3 linked regions of the Ovis aries genome follow. The protein of the gene in region 2 purifies or fractionates together with the protein of the main gene of each other region. This does not show direct contact. Links are inferred from orthologs where the notes say so. Each region holds a gene or a part of one and is shown on either strand. Other genes may lie near its edges.

Region 1 (4,176 bases), on a different chromosome or scaffold from region 2:
GTGAGATCGGGAGCCCCGCTGGGATGTAGGTCCGTGCGCGCGCGTACCCGGGCCTTGACGGCCGCTGTGATGCTGAACTGCCAGGGTTGGAGGAGGAGGAGGAAAGGGGGACTCCCCCGCCCCCGCCCGCCTACTCGCGGGTTTGAATGGACCGTGAGGGGGAGGGGCAGCGGCGGGCGGGCGCTTTTGTCCGGATGGCCCCACCCCTTCCCGGGGCCGGGGAATCCCCCACACCCCACCCATTTAAAGACCTTTACTCCTTCCTCTCCAGCGCCCCCCCAAACGCCTGCTTGGTTGGGGGGAGTCTGGAAGAGGCGCCCTTCACTCAAGTGGCTGAATCTCTACCCATTCTCCCTGTCCCCCGCCCTGCGCCCTTTAATCTGAGATAATCCTGGCCCTAGGCTGCAACGCAGCCTTTTATCCCGGTATCAAAGCGTGGGTAGGGATACATGAAAATGTGTGGCTGCGGTCGCCCAAGCTCAGTGTAATAGAGTTCTTAGAGTCTGGAACGAGGAAGGGGATCCCAGACGAAAGAGGGAGGGACTGCGAGGAGTCCCAGAGTACCTCGACGGAGAAAGACCCCCTGCGTGCGCACTTCCAAGCTCTTCCACCCCTCCCCCACCTGGCGCGGGGCACCCGCACTGGCCGCTAGTTAGACACTAGCGACACCCAGCGGATGCATGGGGAGCCGCCGTAGACAAGCTAATGAGGCCCGTTAAGTGCGGTCGGGTGATTCCAGAGGGGGCGTGTATGCGCGAATCCCCGCTAAGGAGTGGCAGAAGATGGGGGAGGCAAGAGGGGAAGCTGTGGTCCGAGCCAGGGAAACACCAGGTCTCAAGGCAGGGCCACATCGCCCCCATCTCGACTCCTCGAGGGCAGGGCCACAACCTTCCTTCACTTAGACCCTCCTAGAGCAGGGCCTTGTACCCCTTGTACTGGGAAGGTCCTTTCCCATCAGGCACCATCTCCAGGACAAAGTTAAGTCCCTCTTCACAAAAGACGGGAGCGAGGTCTTTTCGCCGAGGCCGAGCCCCAGTAGTGGGCTCAGGCTGACGTCACTGTGGCGTGGCTAAGAGGACAATCCTCTTTTTCAGTCTCGCCAACTGCCCCCTCTCCCAAGGCTGCCGTAAACGCCCACCGTGGGGTAGCGGGAGATGAGGGGGGCTCGAGGTTGGAGAACCCACCCGTAATTCCCCAGGAAGGGCCTAGTGGAGGCCGGAAGCCGGATGGGGTGAGGTCTCAGCGGACTCCCGAGAGCCGGAACACGTGCGCAGGGCTCTTTAAGAACTTGGTCGCCAGTGCCGCTGCTGAGGTTACTAAGGATGTGACGTCACGCGAGGGAGGGGTGTAAGCGTCAGGGCGGAAGCGGAAGGGGCGGGGCTCCGCGGGCTGTGTCTCAGTGCTGCCGCTGCCGCCGCCGCCGTCGCCGCCACCGCTACCAGAACCCTGGAGGGCTGGGCCCCGAGGCAAGATGGTGGACTACAGCGTGTGGGACCACATCGAGGTGTCTGATGATGAAGACGAGACGCACCCCAACATCGACACCGCTAGCCTCTTCCGCTGGCGGCACCAGGTAGAGCTCGCGCGCCCAGCCCCTTCCCCCACTCCCGGGACTCCGCTTCAGAGTTCTGACCCCCTGATACTGCCGGGGGGCCCCAGCCATTGATACCTGGGATTGCCCCCTACAGCCTGGACTTTCCGAATAGCCTAGGGTTCTTCGATTCAATTCCGGGGCCATAGAATTGCCGGGACCCCTGAGTTCCTTGCCCGCGATGCCGGCGCCGCCCCCCCCCCCCCACCCCCACCGCCCCGCGCTTCCAGTTTCTTCTTGAAACGCCAGGTTGACCTGTACGGTATATTTTTAGAATTTAGACTGCCAAGACAAGCTTTTGACGTGCCTCCCAATCCTGCTTGGGATCTTCCATTTACACCCAGATTTCTACCTCAGAATCTGGATCCTGAACCTAGTCGGGTACCCAGTTAAGATCTTGGCTGTTCCATGGCTCCTCCTAACCCCTGTGCTCAGTCGCTTCAGTCGTGTCCAACTCTGTGACCCCATGGACTGTAGCCCGCCAGGCTTCTCTGTCCGTGCGATTCTCCAGGCAAGAATACTGGAGTCGGTTGGCATTTCCTTTTCCATGGGATCTTCTCGATCCAGGGATCTTTTATGTCTCCTGCATTGGCAGGCAGGCTCTTTACCACTGGCCCCGTCTGGAAGTCCTCCAAAACCCTAGAGTTCCCAATAGTTTAAGTCTGTTCTGCGACCTGCTTTTCTGGATCCTTATGGTTCAGATCCAGAAGTCTTACTCCTCTGAATAAAATAATTCTGTCTTCCCCTGAGATTTCTGTTCCTGGCTTGGGACTCCAACCCACACCCAGGACCCCTCCCCTAGAACAAAGATTGGTACCCCCTCCCCCCAAGGCCCTCAGTCTCATCTAGGCCTGGAATTTTGAAACTTGGGTCCTGTTCAGAATGAACCACCACCTCCACCCTGATGGAGCCTCCAATTCCGGAGGCTCTTCTTTAGCCTCTGGTACTGTTAGACCCAATTTCCCATTACATCAGGAAACCCTACCCACGTGGCTTCCTGCCCAGCCAGAACCCCTGCCCCTCCTTGGTACCTCACACCCAGTCCCCGCCCACCCCCAAGACAGACTTCCAGTGGGAACCTTTGCCAGCTTCAGAATGCCACATTCAAACCCAAGTCCAGGACCCAAATCCATCCCATCTCCCTTCTGACCCAAACTTGGTGTGCTATTCTCAGACATCCACAATGACCCTGCTGTTACAAGGAACCCACCCATCCTGATTCCAGATTCACCGCCCCTTCTTTTATCTATTTTCCCCCAAATACAGACCCCCAGAATCCCAAGTCTGTATGTTCTTTCGACAACCTGCAACCCCCCCCCCCACCCCCGCAGCCGCTCAGCTGTGCTCACAGACCAACAGAATGGCTCTCCTGAGACCTTGTGTGCTAACTTCTTGCTCCACCAACTCAGAGCTCCTACACCCACATTCCAGGGGCTGCTTTGCTCTCACACTTATGGAATATACCTTCTAGAACTTTCCAGTTAGGAAAACCTCATTCTGTCTTCCCATGTATCAGCTTGCAGTTGTTTATCCAGAAACACCTAGAAGCGCCCTTCCTCATCCTGCTGAGACACAGTATCCGTGCCTACATCTAGTCCCAGTTCTGGGTCCAACCCATTACTTAAAGCAGCAGCCTCCTGGCTAGGGCTTCCCTGGTGGCTCAGATGGTAAAGAATCTGCCTGCGGTGCAGGAGACCCAGCTTCAATCCCTGGGTGGGGAATATCTCCTGGAGTAGGGAATAGTGACCACTCCAGTATTCTTGCCTGGAGGGAGAATCCCATGGACAGAGAAGCCTGGTGGACTACAGTCCATGGGGTTGCAAAGAGTCGGATACGATTAAGCGACTAACCCTTTCACCTGGCTAGTGTACCTGGTGGGAAAGCCACTGGAGTGGAAAAAGAAAGTTCTAGTATTTCTCTCTTGCCATATGTGACATTTTATGATGAAATATTGAAGCTCTCCGCAAAGCTTTAAAGCTCATTCTCGGGAACACCTATTCTTGTCACGAAGTTGATCTCTATCACCAGGTTTGGTCCTGCTGGTTTGGGAGGCCATGCCCGCTCTCATACAGCATCCTCCTCTCACCACGCCCTACTCCCTCCTGGCGCAAAACCTTTCCCTGTCCAACCGCTGAGGACCCAGGGCTGTCGTGGAGATGAGTGGAGGCAGGGAGCCTGGTGTCTCCAGCACGAGGTTCAGCTGCCAGTGACTGGCAGCCTGGGCTCCAGCCCTGCCACAGGACCATCACTGCTTTGGGGGAGCGAGCCCTCCGCCTCCATGAGACTGTCGTGAAAATGAAATGAGATTAGATCTTGAAAGAACTTGGCTCGGCGCCTGGGAGGAAAGAGTAAGCAATACCAAGAGTGGAAGAGGGGATTAGCCAAAAGGTAGCCTGGTACCCTTGTGAGCGCAGGCCTGCCCGACTGGGTTCATATCCTGCTCCTTCTGCATATCACTGACTTGCTGTGATCCAGTGAGGGTTTTTTTTTTTTTTTTTTTTTAATTAATTTGACCGCACAGGGTCTTAGTTATAGTGTGCTGGATCTTTAGTTGCAGCATGTGGAATCTATTAATAGTTCCCCGA
Region 2 (4,304 bases):
CATGCCACCCTCTCCCCCTCAAAGCCACTGGCCCCTCCCCAGACTCAAGTATAAACCCCTCCATTCTCCGCCCCCCACCCTGGCATCTTTCAGCAAAGCAAGTGACAGGCATACAGGCTGTCAGTCAAGGACCCCTTGAGCCCCTCCCTGCCCCAGAGAGGAGAAAGGGGCCATGAGAGAAGGGAGTCAGAGTTGGGGATGTGAAGAGGCATCGACTGGCCGTCTCACACAGTGAGAGAGCAATGGGAAGGCTGGGGGTGGGGGTGGTGGCGCGGGTTGTGCAGAAAAACAAAGAGATAGCAAAACAGAGACACCTAGGAAGAGGAACTGACAGGAAGAGACTGGCAGAGAGACAGAGACAGACGAGAAGAAAGACTGATAAGCAAAGGGAGACAGAGAGATAAGCAGAGAGAGCCAGAGAAAGCAAGACAGTGGGGAGAGAAAGAAAGAAGTAAAAGCAGGCATGCGGGGCTGGGGGATTTCTGCTGCCCTGGGGCCCTGCCCAGCTTCTGGATCTCACACACCAGGGAGTTCCTGAGAAGTCAGCTGCCCTTGCAGGGCCACGTCGTGTCCCCCCACAATGCCCCCCACCCCTGCCGCACACACACAGGGGCTCCTGACTCACTGCCTGTTCTCAGAACTCTCTCCCTCTACCCTGTGCTTCCTCAGCCTGTGGGAACCAGGGCCAGCCTGAATGACCACTCCTCGCACATACACACACTGCCTGCCCTTCCCAGACTTGGCCCCTGCAGGACACCCAGGTGTCAGGTCATCAGTCCCCTGAGGTCTAGGGAGTGAATTCCAGTGACTCTGAGAGTTGGTCCCTGTCCTACCCACTCACCCCCCAGCTCCTGCCAAGAGAGCCTAGAGGTGTAGGGACCTCAGGAGTGGGTGAGGGACCCGGGGAGGGAGTGAGAAGGTAGGGTGGCCGAGCGTGTGCAAACTGTCAGGAAGCGTGCTCAAAGCTGCCTCATTCGTTCGGATTCATAATCAATCTGTCTATTCGAGTCCATTATCTCCTCGTTAGCTCTGCGGGTGAAGGAGGAGGAGGGGACCTTGCAGATGGAGGCAGGGGTTAGACTGCTGCCCCACCCAGAGGGGCAGCTCCACTCACACCCTGCATGGCTTCCAGCCCCCCGGCCCCGACCTGCCCACACTCCCCACTCCCACTTCCCCCCTGCTGGACCCACAAGGGGCTTGAAAGGGAATCAAGAAAAGAGAGTGCTGATGGGGACCATTCCAAAGCCTGGACCCTGCTTTGCAGACCCAGAGTGATAAATGCACAGGACTGGGGGTGGCAGTCTGGACTTCGGGCCTCCCTCCCATCATGCAGAAACCTAGGTCCAGACCAAGACAAGGCCATCTCTCCTCCCGGCCTCCCTAGGGCCATTAGGGAGCAAGATGGAGTACCTTCCCGTTAATTACCACAAGATACCCGAGTAACTCAGTGCCAATTATCGTAGGCTGCTCAAGTCACTTCCAGACATTGATAGCCCCTGCCACAGATACCTTTCAGCCTATTACTGCATGAGGCCAGGGTTCCTTGCCCACTGTCTAACCCCAGGCCTAATAGGAGGAGGATATTCTAGCAGGTCCTTTCTTCTTCTAGAAGTCTAGCTGGCCCCACCAGCCACATAGAATACTCAAGTATTTTCCAGGCACCATCATATGATACTTGAGTATCTCTAAGCCAATTATTATAGAATACTCCCATAAGTTTCACCAGTTGCTAAAAAGTACTTGAGTATTTTGTGACCAATTAATGCAGGATGTCAGAGCACTGCAAATGTTGAAGATTCCTCCCAGTTTCAGATCTGGAAGGGAGGAGAATCTCTCAGCAAGGGCACTGTCTCCCTATCCAAAGTAGGGAGAAAAGGGTGGTGAAGGAGATGGGGATGGGAGAGGGGAGCTTGGAGGGGCTCTCATTTCCTACCTCCAAATCAAGCTGTGGTGGGGAGGAGAGATGGTGGAAATGGGGAGAGGAGAGCTCAACCACCAAGCTATGGCCCCTCAGCGCCTCCCACCTATTTCAGTTCAATTTCCAATTCAAGAGAGAACAGCTGACTTTGCCTGGTCATGACAAGGAAGGGGGTACGGGAGGATTTATCCCTGGGAAAGGAAAATGGTAAAGGTACCATACTGGGGGTGGGGAATGTTCTCTGCAGATAACCGCCTTCTGTATAGGGCAGAGGGTGGGCTCCTGGCTGAGCTCCAGGAAGCTATTTCTAGAAGGCTGGGCTCTCTCGGATCTGGTCCACAGAGAGCCCCCCTTCCTCTCCTCGAAGCTAGCACCTAAGCTGCCCTAAGCCCAGCATCTAGGCAGTAACTGCGGAGGCTGTCAGGGCAGCAGAGGAAAACCAAGGCACAGCCGAGACTGGCTTGTGTTATCAGTCTCCCGCCGCACCCGCTCCTCCTGATATAGCACGCAAGCGGTGAGTCCGCGCCCACGGGGCACGGCCATGCCCGCCTGTCCCCGCGCCCCCTGGCTCGCCAGACACTCACAGCTCCGTCAGGTTCTCGGTGCCTGGCAGGTGGCGGAGGTTATCCAGGGCCCCCGGCCGGGTGCAGCGCAGCCCCGAAGGGCCGTGGGGGCAGCAGACATCGGGGCAGGATGCAGCGCCCGCAGATGCCAGCATCAACCAGGCCAGCAGGCTTCCCGGCCCTGTAGCCCGGAGGTGCCCGCCAGGTTGCCCGCCCCGTCCGCCTCGTAGCATCGCGACGGCGCCCGCCTCGCCGCGGCCGGGCAGCCGTCTGTGCGCTTGCAGCTGCCGCTGCCAGGCCTCCCCCGACATGTGCGCTGGGCGGTGTTAAAGACCAGCCGCCAGGAAAGGGCGGAGCCAGAGGCCCCCGCCCGGCCTCGCCCCGCCCCTTCTGTCTCCAACCCCGCCCTCTCCTCTTCTAAGTCGCGAACTCTGCCCCAACCCTTTTTCGAGGCCCCCTGCTCCAGCCTACTCCCCCAAGGTCCCCCAGCTCCAGTAGATGCGGAGGGGCAGCCTCAGAAAGCCTCAGAGGTGTCTGCTGGGAATGGGGCTATGGGAAGTTGATACATTATTTTTCCCAGCCTAAAGCCGCTGCATTTAGCTGGGAGGGGAGATGACTGAGCTTGGAAACCGTGGTAGCCCAGGTCATCCTAGCCAGCCCCCGGCCTCAGATCTCACTACGCATGGTGCGCGTACCTGAGGAAGTGTGCATGTCACTTGGGATAAATTAGGGGAAATACTCCCTAAACCCTAGAAAGAAATGGGGAGGGACTCCCAAGAAACCAAACGCAGGAGCTGGAGAAGGAAAAAGAGAAGAGACAGAAAGGGATGATGTCGCCCCCAAACAGCCGGAGAATGGAGACTCGGGAACGGAGACGCCGATTTCCAGGAGAGACCACAGGGTGGCGCTGGCGGCCCGCGCGCAAGGGGTGAGCTCCTCCGGAGTTGGGTGGGTGGGGGCGCAGTCTGCAGCCCCTCACTGGGCTGCGCCTGGCGACCCAGCGTCAGCCACTGACCCGGGCCAGCCAGCACTGGCCCTCAGGCAGGGTAGGGCCAAGCTGGGCTGGGCAGGCATCGATCGCCGCTCTGACAAGAGCATCGATTTCTGCGCGGAGAAATTAATAGATCTTCTCTTAGCTCCTCGGACTCGGGAGCCGCCCGCGGGCGGAGCTGGGGACACGTCGGTCCAGGGAGGCCGTGCACCCGGAAAGCCCCTGGTCCCTAGCACCAGCCAGAGGACGGGTCCCAGCCCCTTCACCCCGCGGGCCTCATGCCTGGGAAAGGGGAAGGAAGAGGAGTCCTGGGGGAGGGACTCTAAAGGAACCCACGAAGGAAGCCCTCCGAGGGGAGAATTTTCCCCACCAGGGCTCCAGAACACATCTTCCCCCCAATTCCCCAAGAAAGAGACAGAGACCGACCCACCGAGCAGCCCGAATTCAGGAAGGTGGCGAGACAGAGGCGGAGCCCACGGGGTGACTGCCCTTTCCACGACGATTTTGTTTGGAACCAAGGGACTTAACTGGGACAGAGCCTAGCGCCAAAAACCTCCTAAGCAGGCTGCGAGGGCCTCGGAGAAGCGAAGGGCTTGGCTATTCCGGAGACGGGTCGTATAACCGCCAGGTTTCAAGCTTAGTTTGTTACCCCGCAGGTGTCAAGGCAGCGGGTAGCAGAACTCAGAACCACCCGTTCCCCGGGGATGGGGGCTGCTTCCTGCCGCTCCGGCTAGCCGTGCACCCCACCTGGGAGAAGTCCTCAGGGGCGGGGGTGGAGGGACCCACCGCTGCTGCAGCGGGGTTGGGGGGAGCCCTGTTCTAGGCCTACCAT
Region 3 (4,049 bases), on a different chromosome or scaffold from region 2:
GCCTCATCATCACTGATTTCCTTCTCACGTTCTTTCTCCAGCTAGAAGTATCAAAGATGACAGTTTCAGAGTACAAAAAAGCAAAAAAAAAACCCCAAAGTCCATGCAATTCTCTCAAGCAGCAGTTACCTGCACTTGAGTTACCAGTCCATACTCACATAAAGTGTGATGGGATAGCCTATGAACTGAGAGTGCTTCTTCACCACTTCTTTGACCCGCCTCTCTTCCAAGTATTCTGTCTGGTCTTCCTTCAGGTGGAGAATCACTTTGGTACCACGGCCAATAGGCTCACCTAGAAAAAAATTAATCAGAACAGAATATAAGAAACTAAATAAACAAACGCAGAACTATAACTGCTTTACACATACAATACTCAAGATCTTCATTAGTGTTTCCCCAGAATGCTAATCCAGACACCTTAACAGGAAAGCCAACTTACCATGGTCAGCCCGGACAGTGAAGGAACCCCCGGCAGAAGACTCCCAAGCATACTGTTCATCATCATTATGCTTTGTGATCACCACCACTTTCTCTGCCACTAGGTAGGCAGAGTAGAAGCCCACACCAAACTGCCCAATCATGGAGATGTCTGCACCAGCCTGCCAAAAAGTTTAAAAGTCAAACTCAAGTTTCAAAGAAATGGCAAAGCAAACACCAATAATATAAATGGAGTGTGCCTAACCAACCACGTACCTGAAGAGCCTCCATAAATGCTTTAGTGCCAGACTTGGCAATGGTTCCCAAATTATTTACAAGATCAGCTTTGGTCATGCCAATGCCCGTGTCTACCAGAGTCAGAGTACGCTCCTGGGGATTCGGGATGATGTCAATTTTCAGCTCTTTACCACTGTCCAATTTAGAAGGGTCTGTCAGGCTTTCATAGCGAATCTTGTCCAAGGCCTGAAAGTACAAAATTGCAGTTTTACAATTCTGCTTCCTCAAAACCCATCTCACCCAAAAAGTTTTTTAAACTCCCCAAATACGCTAATTCTGATTACTCCTTTAGCTTGTAGGTTGAGAACGACATCCAGTGGGTTACAGTATCCCATCTATCCACAGAGAGCAAGGCAATACTTTTTGGAACAGCAGTTAAGTTTATATCCCCCCTTTATCAGTTAACACCACAAAATGCCAAACCACCCCCACTTTCCCTCTCTTGGAGTACTTGAGAAACAAAAAACCAACGTCAATGAAGACATTCAGGGCACTCACATCAGAAGCATTACTGATCAACTCCCGAAGAAAAATTTCCTTGTTGGAATAGAAGGTGTTGATAATAAGAGACATGAGTTGGGCAATTTCTGCCTGGAAGGCAAATGTCTCCACCTCCTCCTCTCCATGGTGCACTTCCTCAGGCATCTAAAATAAAAAGCAAGAATTTAAGACTCCTCAAGTTCACCCTCAGCCACAATACACTTAAGGAGACTCTATTCAAACTGTTTTGAGCTGGGTACAAAGACTGGAAAATCCTTCCCTCTATCAATTTCAGGCAGCACCCTTAGAAACAACGGGGGGAGGGGCGCACCTAACACACTGAACAAATTGCGCTAATGTTTCTTGCAAGTTATTGTGAACCCAAACTCCTGTTAAGTGAATCATAGATCAGCACAATCTAGTTAGGCACTCCAACCCAGGTATCTCGAAAGCGAGGTAAATTCCCATATATTTAAATACGCAAATTACTATCGTTCCACCTTCAAAGTAATTAGTTTCACATTAAAGGGCAATCATTTAAAACTGTCCTCCCATTAGGTAACTCCAAGGAGATAATGTGGTACTGCTGCCTCCCGTAGTAGGGACAGCTAACTCGAGATTGGCGGAATGCCCATCCAGGTGGGCTATCAAGACAAAGAACCGATAAAGAAAGGGCTCCATCGTGACCTCTCTGCACACGTGACTGAAGCTCAAGCCCAAACCAAACACTAAGATGGTGGCCTTAGTCTGCGGGGCCGACTCTCGTCACGGCTGGACATGCGTCGACCACGCGAGGAGGGGGCGCCACCGCGCAGCCTCCCTTCGCCCCAACATCCGGGCACCAGGGCGGGGCGCCGGGCTCCAGAAGCTTCCAGAACAATCTCAGTTCTCGGAGAGGGGCGGGGGAAGGGACGTGCCCACGAATCCCAAAGCCTGCCCCCTCCGCTCGCCAGCCCCTCCTCCACCGAGACGCAGGAAAGATCTGGAAGGATGGAGGAAGCACGACATACGCCGCCGGCGACCGAAAACGGAGCTCTTCGCAGAGCCTCACGGAAAAGCCCCGAAAGAAAGGACTTTAAAAAAATTGTGTCCGATAGAACAAGTGGCAAAACCTGGTCATGACCAGCCTTGCTGAGTCACAGAGGGCGCGCCCACCCGCCCGGCTCGGGGACCCTCCGGCGCCCCGTAGCCGCGTCCGGAAGTGGAGAGGCAAACATGGCAGCGTCCCGGGCCGGCGCGGCCACCACGTGCAGTGCCTACCCCCCCGCCCCATTCTGCGGCCCCACGAAACAACGCTTTATAGCTGCGGGAAAGCAGCCCCGCCGCCAATCACATAGAGTCTAAACTCAAAAGCTCGCTCCCAGCCCTCCCCCAAGAGAAGCAATGGGAGCGTTACGCCAGAACCGGTCCCAACACGAGATGTAGGTCTCGGAAAGGATGCGTGGGCCGAAAGCAACGCGAAAGAACAAGCTAATCTGAAAAGCCCAGATGAGACAGGAGCCTTACCTTCAAGGATAACAATCACAGGTATTAGAGAACACCGAGCAGGCAATGGCTTCCTCGGGCTCACTCGCCACAAGAAGGCTGCGCGGGGGTGACTCGAGAGAACGGCTGTGTGCCCCCAATCACTTTATATAAGGCGAAGCACCGCCCAGCTGCCCGCCCCCGGATCCCTCCGCCTTAAAGGAGGATGCCTGTCTGCCGCGCACCTGCCGCCGCCCGCCCGCCCACCTTGACGTCACGGTCCAAAATAGGGGAGGGGACCTTGAAAGGCGGGAGCCGCCGGCCTTGAGATCAAGTACACTTATTTACTCCTGTTCACAGCCCCGTCTCCGCGTTCCTAAAACAGGACACCATCAGAAACATATGTTGGGAGTAATCATATAACATAAACGGTGGAACTAGAAGCGAGGATTCCCCACTGACCTCTGTGAAAACCTGCAGGGCAGGCATCTCCACTCCTGACAGTCCCAGCCTCGGGACTAAGGTCCAAGCCTAAACAGGGGTCACCCACTCCCCCCTACGCTCCGAGGCTCGACCTCCTCATTAGAAGCTGCCCTACACATACTCTAATTGCCTGATACGGGAAAGGGTTCTTTTCCGCGGGCGTTGCGGAATTAAAGGTCCCACTTTGTGGGCATGCCTGGAATACAGGCCCTCCCGCGGCGGGCCGGCGTTTCGCGGCGAGGCGTGGCTCCGGCTGCGGGCCGGGCGCTGGCTCCAGCCGGCCAGGGGACTCTTTGACTGCACACGCGGCGGAAGGATCCAGGGCGGCGGCGCTGCGACACTTCCAGCAGCTTCCAGACCGGCCGGGGCGGCCCTGCCCCGCCCCTTCCCTTGAGGCCCCGCCCCGCCCTCTGCGGCCTGGGCTGTGCCTCCGCGGTGGCTCCGCCCCTCAACCGCACTGCTGGGATCCTGGTGTCCAAGTAGGCTATACCTTCATTACATTTCCTCCAGGAAACTGCAGAGGGGATCCATTACCCTACCCGCCAGACCCAGCTAGCCGGGCACTGCGTCCGGGTGGGGTGGAGCGGGGATGACCCCACTTCTCCCCCCATCGATCACACAGCACACCGGCCGGTGGGGCGGCTCTGAGGGTGCCGCCTTCCGAGAGCAGACACTGGGGATGCGGTCGCTTACCCGACGGACCGCTCCCACCCCCAACCCCCAGCCGCCCACAGGTGAGGGAGCGCAGAGACTTGAATATCGAGTTGTTTCTCAGTCTGGCTTCCTTTTTCTTTTTTTTCCCCACCCTCTTCCCTCCTCCTGCAGCTGCCTAGATCTGGGAAGAGTCCGGTCTCCCAGGACTCCTGCAGGGTGGCAGGAGTTCTTGGAGGCAGCATGAGGACGCTGGT

The links. Proteins that work in one complex are often made in the same cells at the same time.
Region 1: the proteins of NTRK1 (region 2) and CDC37 purify together in Homo sapiens (affinity purification with mass spectrometry; 3 studies listed by BioGRID and IntAct, with this or other methods). This does not show direct contact. The link is inferred for Ovis aries from reciprocal best matches to the Homo sapiens genes NTRK1 and CDC37.
Region 3: the proteins of NTRK1 (region 2) and HSP90AB1 purify together in Homo sapiens (affinity purification with mass spectrometry; 3 studies listed by BioGRID and IntAct, with this or other methods). This does not show direct contact. The link is inferred for Ovis aries from reciprocal best matches to the Homo sapiens genes NTRK1 and HSP90AB1.

The regions. Positions count from the first base shown.
Region 1 is NC_056058.1:12,789,711-12,793,886, reverse strand, and holds the start of CDC37 (hsp90 co-chaperone Cdc37), read left to right. Parts: upstream 1-1,376; 5' UTR 1,377-1,471; coding exon 1,472-1,573; intron 1,574-4,176. UniProt on the Homo sapiens protein: Co-chaperone that binds to numerous kinases and promotes their interaction with the Hsp90 complex, resulting in stabilization and promotion of their activity. Inhibits HSP90AA1 ATPase activity.
Region 2 is NC_056054.1:106,801,813-106,806,116, reverse strand, and holds the start of NTRK1 (high affinity nerve growth factor receptor), read right to left. Parts: upstream 2,810-4,304; 5' UTR 2,793-2,809; coding exon 2,503-2,792; intron 1-2,502. UniProt on the Homo sapiens protein: Receptor tyrosine kinase involved in the development and the maturation of the central and peripheral nervous systems through regulation of proliferation, differentiation and survival of sympathetic and nervous neurons.
Region 3 is NC_056073.1:17,733,382-17,737,430, reverse strand, and holds the start of HSP90AB1 (heat shock protein HSP 90-beta), read right to left. Parts: upstream 2,801-4,049; 5' UTR 2,701-2,800; intron 1,360-2,700; coding exon 1,213-1,359; intron 901-1,212; coding exon 694-900; intron 600-693; coding exon 440-599; intron 293-439; coding exon 159-292; intron 42-158; coding exon 1-41. UniProt on the Homo sapiens protein: Molecular chaperone that promotes the maturation, structural maintenance and proper regulation of specific target proteins involved for instance in cell cycle control and signal transduction. Undergoes a functional cycle linked to its ATPase activity.